Linked DNA regions of Oryzias latipes. The protein of the gene in region 2 purifies or fractionates together with the protein of the main gene of each other region. This does not show direct contact. Links are inferred from orthologs where the notes say so. Each region holds a gene or a part of one and is shown on either strand. Other genes may lie near its edges.

What was found. Proteins that work in one complex are often made in the same cells at the same time.
Region 1: the proteins of hsf1 (region 2) and bag3 purify together in Homo sapiens (affinity purification with mass spectrometry; 3 studies listed by BioGRID and IntAct, with this or other methods). This does not show direct contact. The link is inferred for Oryzias latipes from reciprocal best matches to the Homo sapiens genes HSF1 and BAG3.
Region 3: the proteins of hsf1 (region 2) and heterogeneous nuclear ribonucleoprotein D0-like purify together in Homo sapiens (affinity purification with mass spectrometry; 3 studies listed by BioGRID, with this or other methods). This does not show direct contact. The link is inferred for Oryzias latipes from reciprocal best matches to the Homo sapiens genes HSF1 and HNRNPD.

What each region holds. Positions count from the first base shown.
Region 1 is NC_019873.2:29,858,998-29,863,159, forward strand, and holds the start of bag3 (BAG family molecular chaperone regulator 3), read left to right. Parts: upstream 1-1,340; 5' UTR 1,341-1,417; coding exon 1,418-1,588; intron 1,589-2,847; coding exon 2,848-3,180; intron 3,181-3,444; coding exon 3,445-3,762; intron 3,763-3,842; coding exon 3,843-4,162. UniProt on the Homo sapiens protein: Co-chaperone and adapter protein that connects different classes of molecular chaperones including heat shock proteins 70 (HSP70s), e.g. HSPA1A/HSP70 or HSPA8/HSC70, and small heat shock proteins (sHSPs), e.g. HSPB8.
Region 2 is NC_019869.2:4,832,572-4,836,100, forward strand, and holds part of hsf1 (heat shock factor protein 1), read left to right. Parts: intron 1-519; coding exon 520-628; intron 629-727; coding exon 728-864; intron 865-1,141; coding exon 1,142-1,266; intron 1,267-1,675; coding exon 1,676-1,751; intron 1,752-2,090; coding exon 2,091-2,152; intron 2,153-2,768; coding exon 2,769-2,835; intron 2,836-3,116; coding exon 3,117-3,235; intron 3,236-3,319; coding exon 3,320-3,498; intron 3,499-3,529. UniProt on the Homo sapiens protein: Functions as a stress-inducible and DNA-binding transcription factor that plays a central role in the transcriptional activation of the heat shock response (HSR), leading to the expression of a large class of molecular chaperones, heat shock proteins (HSPs), that protect cells from cellular insult damage.
Region 3 is NC_019870.2:2,825,310-2,829,637, forward strand, and holds the start of heterogeneous nuclear ribonucleoprotein D0-like, read right to left. Parts: upstream 2,823-4,328; 5' UTR 2,462-2,822; coding exon 2,295-2,461; intron 1,203-2,294; coding exon 1,034-1,202; intron 375-1,033; coding exon 213-374; intron 1-212. Other genes in the region: enoph1 (enolase-phosphatase E1), read left to right, coding at 4,269-4,328. UniProt on the Homo sapiens protein: Binds with high affinity to RNA molecules that contain AU-rich elements (AREs) found within the 3'-UTR of many proto-oncogenes and cytokine mRNAs.

The DNA.
Region 1 (4,162 bases), on a different chromosome or scaffold from region 2:
TGTGAACTTGTTTTTAAACACCTTTCATGTTTTAATGTTCAGCTATCGAGTTATTTTTATTCTTCTGTTTAAACTCTGCTGTAATGTCCGGACTTGATGCTGTGTGCTTTATAAAGTTAGGCTTTGTGTAGCCTGTAGAGTTCTTTTTACAGATTTTTGACTAATCAGAATAATTTTATTGTCATTGTATATGGTGATACAATGTAATTGCAGCAGCCTTGGAGTGATGAAGATAAATAAAATATGTATTTAGTGTAAAATTTAAATGTAAAGAAAAAAAATTAATTCACACGACACTAATGTGATTATCCTTATAACAACAGTATAGTAAAGGGAGAATGGATTATTTTACAATAACTCTAACCCATAAACAGTTTATCCCAGTATATATGGTGAGTCATAAACAGTCTCTGACATGACCTTATAGAGTCACAGAAAGCTTAGCCTTATCTTTATAAAGGACATTATTATTATTATTATTAAGAGTTTAACTATTAATCTAGTTAATTAATAGTTAATTAATATTAATTAATTTCTATTTGTACAATCGAGTGGACCTATACCATTATAAACTCGTGTCAAAATCAATTAAATCAATATTAGAAAATTCCATCTGGATTGAGGTAAAATTAATGGTCACACTCCTAATTATTTATTAATTTTTTCAACATGAATAATTTACTCTCCTGTTTTGCAGCATTTGACATAATTTAAACTATTTATAAATAACAATGGTTTCAAATATCAGTTTGATAATCAAACAGCTGTTTGCTGCACATATTTAGAATGACTACTTTGTATGTTTTTAAATCTTTTAAAGTTGTTTTAAAGTTTAGATCCTTCATATATGTTTAACATAATCATTAGATAGTATCCACTAGAATTTAGATTCCAAAAAGCGGCTTTAATATGAAATATTGATGAAAGCAAATGTTTGTCTGGACTGGAAAACAGAGTAATGTTATAAGCAGCTGTCTCTTTGTGGGGGGGTTGTGTTTGAACCTTTTGATTTTTCATTTTGTTTGTAGATTTTTACTCATTTTTAATGATAAAATAGAATTGGACTAGTTTATTTAGTGACCAAATCTCATTGAACATGTGTTCCTCGCCGGAGGCACGCATGTGTTTTTGAACATGTTTAGCCCCCCCCCCCCGTCTGGGCTCTGATGGAGTCGTCTCCGCTGCTCTCCGGTCCGTCGTCACGTTTCAGGTGGAGCTGCTCTCGGTAAACCCTCGTGGGGGTCTCCGGCTTGGATCTGCAGCTCCGCCCCCCCCCCCCCCCCCGCCCCCCTTGCCGCCCCCACAGTTAACCCTGCTATTTCCAGAAGCTTCCAGCCCACTTCCCCACGTCACTCCACGGAGTCTTTAAAGCGCCCGCCGCCCGTATAAAATGTCTTAGTACCGGAGCGCGAGCAGCATGAGCGCCGTGCAGACACGCGCCCCCGCGCCGACCATGGCTAACAACGACAGCGACCCCCTGCCCCTCGGCTGGGAGGTCAAAATCGACCCCCAGACCGGATGGCCGTTTTTCGTGGATCACAACAACCGAACCACAACCTGGAATGACCCGAGACACGTCGCGACAAAGGTGAAGGAGCGCGCGGGCAAAGTTGCTTCCCCGGCGGGAAGCGCTCGCGGGGAATCTGCGTTGGTTGTTTCTGCGGAACATTGTATTGTCGGTGGTAACGGCTGATCGGTCCCGCCATGTCCTCGTGTCATCATAACTATTATTACGCGATGAGTCACCCTGCAGTATGTGGCGGCCGGGACGGGGGGGCCGTTTTCACATTAAGGTCATTTTCCCAGCAGGGACCGCGGCTGGGCTGCTGTGTGTGGCGGGGGCTGCTGGGCGGGCGGTCCCGGGCAGAGGGCAAAGGGTCGTTCCGGAGGAGACACCGACGGGGTACCGATTGTTGACCGTTTTCCTCCAGGTTTTGGTCTCCTTTGGTTGGGGAGGGGGGGGGGGCATCAGACCTGTTGCTCTCTGCTCCTTCACTTCTTCCTGACATCTCGTGCTTTTATTTTTAAATTCTCTTCCTGTCTGATCGGTTTTCATGGAGGAAAATAGTTCACAGCGGTGACCTGTTCCATAAAGAACATTCAAAAAGACAAACAGTTGGTCTCCTTCAGATTAAAAGTGCTGTCCTGTGTGATGTTGGCGTGTTGGGGGTCAGAGGGGGGGGGCGCTGGGCACAGGGACACATCTTCAGGAGGCAAACTAGCAGCTGCCGGGCTGGAATGCAGAGGTTGTTCTGGCAGGGCAGCGTCACTTTTGGCTGCTGGGTGAGGAAATGTGACCCGGGACGGAGAAGGCGGAACGTGGATCTGGAGAAAGCGGAACGTGGATCTGGAGAAGGCGGAACGTGGATCTGGAGAAAGCGGAACGTGGATCTGGAGAAAGCGGAACGTGGATCTGGAGAAGGCAGAACGTGGATCTGTGGAGGATTTCCACCTGCGGCCGGACGGTCGCGAACACAGACGTCTGCACAGACGCTCACCTGACGTCAACGGCCCAAAGCACCGTTATATTTGGAAAACACACCTGGAAAACATGGAGGCAGCATGAGACGGGGGCTTTGTGAGCAGCTGTGGTGCAGAGGTAGAGCGGTTGACTCTGGATTAGGAGGTCTCGGGTTTGATTCTGGCCTTGCTCTGCCCCCATCAGAGTGTGTAAAGCACTTTAGGCTTTAGAAAAGCACTATAGAAGCACAAATACACAATTATACAAAATATCACTGATGAATCAGTGGTGGAAGTCTTAAAGTTTTTACCTGAGATTTGTGTGTGTTTTTTTAATGAATTTAAAGGTTTTTTGGTTCTAAATTCTTTCCCCTGCCTATATTTCAGAGTAGAGAAGCAAACGGACCCAACATACCTCCAGAACAACATCCTAAGGAGACCCAGAAGACCTTTACCCGAGAGATGAAGCACCCGATTCTGCGGCCCGGCTACATCCCCATCCCCGTCTTCCATGAGGGCGCAGAGCTGCGGCAGCAGCCGCCGCATCCCTGCTGTACGTACATCCAGCCAAGCACAGCGCAGAGTGTCCGGTACGAAGGTCAGGCTCCTTCGCACGCCTCCGGACTTCACGGCAGGCCCAGATCGCCGTTACACGTGGCCTCAGACAGCTGCTCCTCTGAGCCCGGGAGGGCCAGCACGCCCACGCCGCCAACCACAGAGGTACGGGTAACATTTGGGTTCTTCACTGACAGCCACCCTTGATTACAGTGGGAGTTTTCAAAATAACGCATTTCATACACGGAGGAGATTGATTGACAAGGTCAACAGCCAATCAGGATGCAGAACATAGCGAGCTGTGAAGTAAAATGGAAATTGGCTATAAAAAGGTGGCCGGCGATCTAGTGAGGGACCAGCATGAGCTGAAGCGGGTAACATTTGTGCGACCAAACGTGTTCACTGCGTTCTGACTGTGTTGCTGCTCAGGTGCACACCGCCACACACCACCAACCGTGTCGACCCGGCAGCACCGGCCTCCAGGCCGGTTACATTCCTATTCCAGTCATCCATGAGGGCGGAGGGGGTCCGCCTCAGGTAAACCCCGCCGTCTACTCTCAGCGCGCCCCCTACCAGCGCCTCCAGACAGACGAACGGCCCGCCTACTCTGCGGCGCCGTCTTCTCGGGAAAGTGCTTCCCCGACGTCGCTGTTCCCGCAGCACCGGGACGCAGCGTCTGCCCGCCTCCCACCTTCGCTTAGGAGCCAGTCCCCGACGGTATCGCAGCTGCAGGCGGACAGACCGCAGGTGGGCTTTCCGGTCTTTTCCTTTTGCCAGCGTGTCCCAGATTCTGACATAAAACTGTAACTTTGTTATTTGGATCTCAGCAGAACCTCCTCACTAGAGACCCGGCCCAGAAAGTGGAGCAGGAGCTGCAGAAAGCAGAGAACCTGCCGGTTCCTCAACCGCAGCTCACAGAGGTGGACGCTCCACATCTGGAGCAGCCTCAGTCCCAGGAGCCGCAGCATCACGTTGCAGACATCACGGTTCAAATCCCTCCAAAAGCAGAGGTTCAGGACCCAGCCGGCCCTGAAGCCCCCCCAACCAGAGCAGAGGGGGAGCAGGGCGCCGTTCACCCGGGCTTGGCGAAGGTTCAGCAGATCGTGGGACGGGTGGCTTCGCTGGAGCAGGAGGCCAAGGCTTTCAG
Region 2 (3,529 bases):
TCTTGCAAAAAAATCTGATTTTTTCCAAAAAATCCGATTGAGCATTAAGCCCTGCAGTGTGAACGTAGAGCTTTAATAAGTTTTTCTGTTTTACAAGCAGCATTTTGTTGTCTGATCCTGCTTCACAGCGAAAAAATGCACAGAAATCGCAATTTTAAGCTTCTTTTCCGAAAAAAAATATCCTCCATCATCAGAACCATGCCACGAAAACATGTTAAAAAACACCAAAGACACCATTTATATCAGAGTGGGTTTTTAAATCTACTGGGGATTTTTCCGTGCCGAGCTGCGCTTCCTGGAAACCTGACTCAGAGTGGTCAGTTTGATTTCAGGTGAGTTTGGTGAGTGGATCTCAACTCGCTGACTCTCTGACTGTAGACACCACATGGCAAGAACTATTTTAACAATCTGCCTATTTGGAGTAGAAATAATATCTGTCTGTTCGTGGCATTTGAATATTTAAACCACTAGTTTATGATTTAAATCATTTTAATAACTCGTGGTCTTGTTCTGTGTCAGAATGGAACCAGCTTCCATGTGTTCGATCAGTGCCGGTTCTCTAAAGAAGTCTTGCCGAAGTTCTTCAAGCACAACAACATGGCCAGCTTCATCCGACAGCTCAACATGTGTGAGTACCAGCGGGCGACTCTGCTCACCTCAACCGAGGATACAGATAAACGCTGGAATTACAGAAGCTGTTTGATGTTCTGTGTCTGTCTGTGGCCAGATGGTTTCCGTAAGGTTGTGCACATTGAGCAGGGCGGTTTGGTGAAACCAGAAAAAGACGACACAGAGTTCCAGCATCCGTTCTTCATCAGAGGACAAGAACACCTTCTGGAAAACATCAAACGCAAAGTCACTAATGTATGTGCCTGCAAAAGCACCCCAACAAGGCCAGATTTTAGGCTTTTGGGATCCAATAAAAGAAGTTTTTTTTAGCCTATTCTCATCTTAAATGCACACATTTATTATTCTCATAATCTTCATTGTAGGTTAACATCAAAAACATTCTGGATAGAAATCTAAAAATGAATAGAATGATTTAAAAAAAAAGTTGAACTTTGTGAAAATGGGAATTCTGGAGTTTTTCTTGGCCCCCTGGTCCACAGTGACAGTCCCCCTTTTTACCTGACCCTTGCAGGTCTCGTCGGTCCGTCATGATGATGTGAAACTCTGTGCTGATGACGTGAGCAAAATCCTGAACGATGTCCAGACAATGAAGGGAAAACAAGAAACCATCGACTCCAGGATTATCGCAATGAAACAGTAAGAACCAAAAAAAAAGCTCCCAGCTCTGCTCCATTCTGATGCACCCCCCTGCAGGTGGACGTCTTTGTTTTCTGGCAACTCGCTCCAAACTGTACAGCCGGATAGCTCCAATATTGCTCGTCATTCTGACTGCACCAGTAATGTTAGGCTGGATGTGTCAGGGGCTGTAAGCTAGCAGGAAAGAGTGTAAACTTTGATTTTATCTTTAAAACAGTGTAACTAAAATAATAAAAAAATAAACACTGGGAACGTGTTTAAAATTGATCAAAAGATGATGGGAGCAGGTCTTAAACTGTGAGTTGTGGTGGTCTTTTCCTGAAACTGCGTTGCTCCCCACATTCTCCCATTGTTTGGTCTCACTTTGTTGTCAGTCTCCTGACCTGTAAACTATGTTCCTGTGTTTCAGTGAGAACGAGGCTCTGTGGAGGGAAGTGGCCAGTCTGAGGCAGAAACATGCTCAGCAGCAGAAAGTTGTCAACAAGGTACAAACATGTAATCAAGGAGCACAGAGTAGAGGTGGCGTGTACGTGAAGTGTGGAGGAGCAGCCGTGTTTAGAGCTACATGCATTTGTCGTTGAATAGAAAATGTGGTTGTTGTTGTGCGTTTTGTGTTAAAACTGAGTGTTTCATCTTTCTGTGCACAAACACTGATTGGCAACCTTGTTTACATTGTGAACATCCACCCATCCTTGTATAGACTACAGTTAATTTTGATGGCGGGAAATGTAAATAGTCAGTGCATACGATTTTTAACACAATGCTAGCACGTTAGCATACACCTCGCTGCATCAATGCTATTTTTTCTCTCTCTCTCTCTGCAGTTGATCCAGTTTCTAGTGTCTCTTGTCCAGACCAACAGGATCATGGGAGTCAAGCGAAAAATGCAAGTTTAAATCTGAAATGGGACCATTGACTGTATATCAGAACTGGAGGGGAGTGAGTGTGGCGTCACCCTTAGAAAATGTCTTCAACAAAATTAAATCAATTCAGTCACCATTTTTTTTCGTGAGACGGACGCCGCCATGTTGGAGCCATACGTCGTCGGTAACCAGCCAGTTGGTCTGAACCAACATTTCTATGGCAACCACTCTGGCCAATCACGAGTGACTTTCTTGGAAGGCCACAACCCTATCACTTGAATCTGTCAGACGCTTGAAACATTAGACGTGAGACCAAAAAAAACCTTTATTTTAAGGCATCTGATTGGTCGGTTTGTAACTTGAAATGCAGAAAAAATATGTCAAGTCTACAGGATTTTGGCTTTTTGGAGCCAGTGGGTACTTCCTGTTTGGAACGCCAGGGGGGAGGGGGTCACTGAGTCCAGTTTTTATATACAGTCTTTGAATAGGACTTAACCTCTCAAGCATTTTAAGTTTTTCAGACACCAAAACATTAGGTTGAAGAAAAGGATTTACTAAAAGACGAAAAATGTTTTTAGTTTGTGCAGTTTTTGCATTTGCTGTGTTTGTTTACTCACCTTTTCTCCCCTCCACCTTTAGTCCTCTGATGCTGAACGACTCCAGCTCCACTCACTCCATACCGAAGTTCAGCCGTCCATACGTGCAGGTAACAGAGCCTACGTTTCTCTCTGAGTTCTCTCACATACCTGAACAACATGGCACTCCTGATGCTCAGAAACAGGTCAGAGGTCATGGGGTTAATGGAGGGCATCTCTTGTTTTGATTTAGTTGAAAACAGTTTTGTTGGTTAAAAATATATTAACCTTGCGTTGGTATACTTCTAAAGTTTTTTCTCACACTATTATCTAAGGAGATGTGAAGACAGCGGACGATCATGTGTTTTCTGTGGGGTGAGTCTTATTTAAGCTCCATCTTTTTCCTCTTCAGGCGGCAGCTAATCCCTTCTCAGCCGACTCTGCTCTGAGTTCTGGACCAATCATCTCAGACATAACAGAGCTGGCCACTTCTGCCTCAGACGACGTTGTCAGTGAGTGGATTAACCCAAAGTAAGCACCTGCAGATCATCCTCCCTTAAATGATCAGTCAGCGGTCAGTGAGGCGTCTCTAATCCCAGCCCTTCTGCTTTATAGGGAGAACGAATCTGTTAACATAAAGGAGGAGCCGTCCAGTCCGGAAGTGGAGGAAATACCCATTATCGAGGAAGAGCCAGTGCATGTGGAGACCCCCTTTTCACCCACCACCTTCATCAACTCCATACTTCAGGAAGAAGCACAGCCAGCAGCAGTTACCGCCACCCCCTCCCCAGCAGGCAAGCAGAGTGCAAGACTTAGTTGGATTTT
Region 3 (4,328 bases), on a different chromosome or scaffold from region 2:
TTTCACAAAAGCACAGAAGCCGAGAGTGCAACATTTAATGACGAGAATTAAAGAAAAATACAGAAGAATTACACAGTTTAGGGTCTGCAGTTACGCTTTAGGTCTCAAATTGGACGCAAAACTTCTGAAAGTTCATAAATAAAAAGAGTAAATCAAGTGTGTCAAAGGATAAAAACTGGTTTAAGCTGAGTAAAAAAAAAAACGACACGAACCTCTCCAAAGGCACCAAAGTACTCTCGGACCTTCTCCTCTGGGGTGTCTGGAGACAAACCACCAACGAAGACTTTCTTCACCGGCTCCTTGCTCTTCATGGCCTTGGCTTTTTTAGGGTCGATGACTTTTCCGTTGAGTTTATGTTCCTTCTGTGACGCCACCTTCAGAACAGAAAGCAGCAAATACATAAATAAAACTCACTAAATGACACAACAACAACAAGAAAAAAATCAAAGCTGATGTAATAATTAGAAACAGAATATAGAAGGAAAATGTTGAGGCGTGTCTCCACAGAAATCTGCTGCTCATAACAACATCAAACGTAAAGAAATATTTCAAAAGGCTGACGTGTTCACTCATGAGTTTGTCTGAAATCTTCTGAATTTATTTGATAAATAATATTATTGCTTTTTTTCGCATGAAGGAAATGACTAAGCCTCCAAAATAAAAGACGAACTTGGAGCTGAAACAGTTAAATGTTAAACTGCTTCACTGATTTATTGTCAATTCAGTGTGATTCGAACAAATATGTATTTATTTCAAAAAAGTTGTGAAACAAACTTTTTTTAAATGAGTTAAGTTAATCTGCACGTATCTGTTGATTTAAACTGAACAAAGGTGAACGTTTTATGAATAAATTCTTGAATGTTTGAAATTCTTGAAAAATAAAAAATAAAAAGCTGCTTTTTAAAAAAGTCAAAACAGAAGACAGTGCTTACAAGAAAATTTCCTTGATCTGAGAGACATTTGATTAGATCAGACTGTTTTTTTCAACACCACCCCAGTAAAAACAACATTTAGGTATTGAACAGAATCGAACCTTTTCCACACTTTCGGCGTCTTTGAAGAGCACAAAGCCGAAGCCCCTGGAGCGTCCGGTCATGGGGTCCAGCTTTAATGTGCAGTCTACCACCTCCCCGAACTTTGCAAAGTAATCTTTCAGGTCTTTCTTCGTGGTGTCCCAGCTCAGGCCTCCAACAAACATCTTCCTGCCAGCAAAAAAACATTTGGAAGGAGATCCGTGGTATAAGTTTGTGTTTGTTGTGACCCAAGTCCTAACTATAAGAATCTTTCCTCGGGTTGCTGCTGGCATTTTCATTCATAAAATATAAAACGAGTGAACAGTGTGATGAAAGAAGTGAAACAGAAAGAACTGAAGAAAGCCTCTTTGTTTTTATATGACCCCGAAGAACCCACAGGGTCAAATTTGGCAGCTTTTCCTTTTTTTTAATTTATGTTTTTATGTAAATTATGTTTTTCTATTGTGTTTTTTAGCCACAGTTAATTGCTGCTCCCCGAAACAAACAAAGAAACTTTCAAATGAACTTCAAAGACCCACTAATGAAAAAGGTGTTTGGGGTATTTTTAGCATGTTCTTGTAGCATTTTTCTGATGATGGACGACATTTATGGTAAAATTAAGCTTAGACTGTGTTTCTGAGTATTTCTTTATTCAAATCGTTGTGCATCAGGGGCAGACGAAGAGTTTGAAAAAGATCATATTTGTGATGTAGAAAAAACACGCTGGGCGGGGCCACAACCTCCCTGCTCCTCTCCATTCTAATGCATCCACTTACATACAGACTAATAGATCCATCTGCAAAGCTTTGTTTTCCTCGTCTGAGCTGGAATCTGGATCTGAATTTGTTGCCCCGCTAATGGTAGCTTGGGGTTGTGAGAAGCCATAAGCTAGCAGGAGGGCTTGTGAATAGAGACCTCTCAGTTAGGGTGATGGGGGGGGGGGGGGGTCTGTGCCAATGGTCCCGCCCACAATTTAGAGGTGAATTTCTAATAAACTCCCGCCGCTCTGCAGAAACTAAGTCTTACAAAAAGACAGGTTTTTTTTATTTAGCTAAAACGGTATAATCCTAATCAAAATAAACGCCAATACATTTTTGGAACTCACCAAACGTTGCCGCAAATATAAAACAATTTGAAAATAACTACAACAAATGTGCGTCCATGGATCAACAGTGCCGTGGATAACCGTGCAGGAGCTTTCCCGGTCATCCGAGCTGTATGTCCCAGAAGTCTCTCTGGGAGTATGTTTGTATGAAAGGCTCCCCGCGCGGATAAACTTACCCTTCATCTTCTTCGTTTTTGCTGGCGTCGATCCTTGATCCCTCGGCCTCGTCCCCCATCAGGCCGCCATCCCCCTGAGCTGACATGGGGTCGTCATTGTTAGCCTCTCCATCCTCCTCCATCCTCATCATACTCGGGTCTTCGCTAAATTCATAATCCTCAGACATCTTCACTTTTTTCTCGAAAAGATCAAATGCTAGTTCTAATGAAATGATTTTCGGAAAAAAAAAAATCAAAAGTAATTTTGAGCCAAAAAAAATTCGATTTATTTTAAGCTAACAGCCAAGATAGTTGCTAGCTGCTAACAGATAACAAATAACAAAAGCCGATGTTCAAAAACAGGACGAGGCTAGCTCAACTTATTCGAAGTTATCTCAAAATTTAAATAGATAAAGAAAACGCCTTGATCTCTAAATATAATTTTCTTTCAGTTCTAATAATTTTAAAGGATATTTTTTCATCCGATATTTTAGTTTTCTTGCCAGTCGTTTCTTGTTTGTCTACTTCTGCGAATCCCAAGTGAGCATTTGAGTGCAGAGCGCCACCTGCTGCAGCGGAGATGTAACACCAGGGTAATTTGTAAATAATTGAATATTTTACATTTTTTAAAAGGGACTTTATTCAAATGAATTGTTCTCTTATTAATAAATAAATAAAGAGATTTGTTGTTTTAGTTTTGAGCCTAATTTTCCAAGATCCAATTATCTTCATCTTAAAAATCTTTAGATACAGTTCTAAATCTAAATATGAAAGACTTTTAGTATTGGACCTTTTTTTCTCTCCAAAATAATGGAAATGGTTTTAGGAGAAACCAATCAATCAATCAATACATACATACATAAATAAATAAAAAGCATGACCAACTCTATATTTGATTGTTTTGTTTAAAAATGCTAGGCAACAAAAACAAAAATAAAATTCTGAAATTGAAATGAAAGGAAAGGAAAACTGCTCAGCAAACGAGCAACCAGAAGAAAAACTTTATCAAAATCAAAAATCATACTAACACTGACACTCATGATGGCGCATCAGGGACACCATCAAAGAAGAAAAAAAGACATATGTATGAAAATAAAGTCATACAATTATTAAATAAAGTTAAAAGTTAGGAGCATTAGTTTGTACAACATGAGAACAAAGTCATACAGTTATGAAGAAAAATCTAATTTGTGAGAAGAAAGTTGTACAATTGTGAAAAATAATTCAACAATTTTCATATATAATGATAAACAAAGGCTTCAAAAAGTTGTAAAAAAATATTACATTTAGCTTTTAAAATGTGCAAAAAAACAGTTTTATACCTGATTTATCAAGAAATCTGTTTTTGTAACTGTATTTTTATGAATTTATAACTTTTATTTGACAAAAGCATGAAAAAACGTAAGTGGTTTATCAAAAATAGATGGTAATACTTATTATTTCTTGCAAAAATTGTTCTAATGCAACATATTGTGGTCTGTATTCGAAAATCTAGTGTGCATCGATCTGGTGTTGCACACTGGTTTTTCGCAGAGACTTCTGGGAAATTTGTAGGGCACTTGATTTTGGAATTTAAATGTGAATATTGGGCCATTCGATTTCGGAATAGATGCGGACAAAATGGCAAACGCACTATAGTGAGTAGTCGTCTTGTAATTCAATAGTTTGGTACTCATCACCAATTTCTGGTTTCCCCACTAAAATAAGTTTTACGACTCAACAGCGCCATCTCCCGACGCGGAGGCTAAACTGACGATGCTGAACATGTGAGCTGGTTGTTGCTTTGTAATGGTTGTCGAGCTCATGTCACGGACAGGTTGTGTCAAACGTAACTGTTTGGATTTCGATCGGTGTTGATTTTTCTGTCTGGAGAAGCAGCGAGTATCGGACCGGACCGGACCGAATCGCCGCCTGGCTGGAATCCTGCGGTGCCGCCGCCCGCTGTCCTTTAAGCTCAGACCAGCTAACGTCTCCAGCTGCTTTTTGTGATCAACAATGGCCTCTGTCTCCATCCCTGCGTGCACTGGTGCTCTGCTGTTGGACATTGAAGGCACC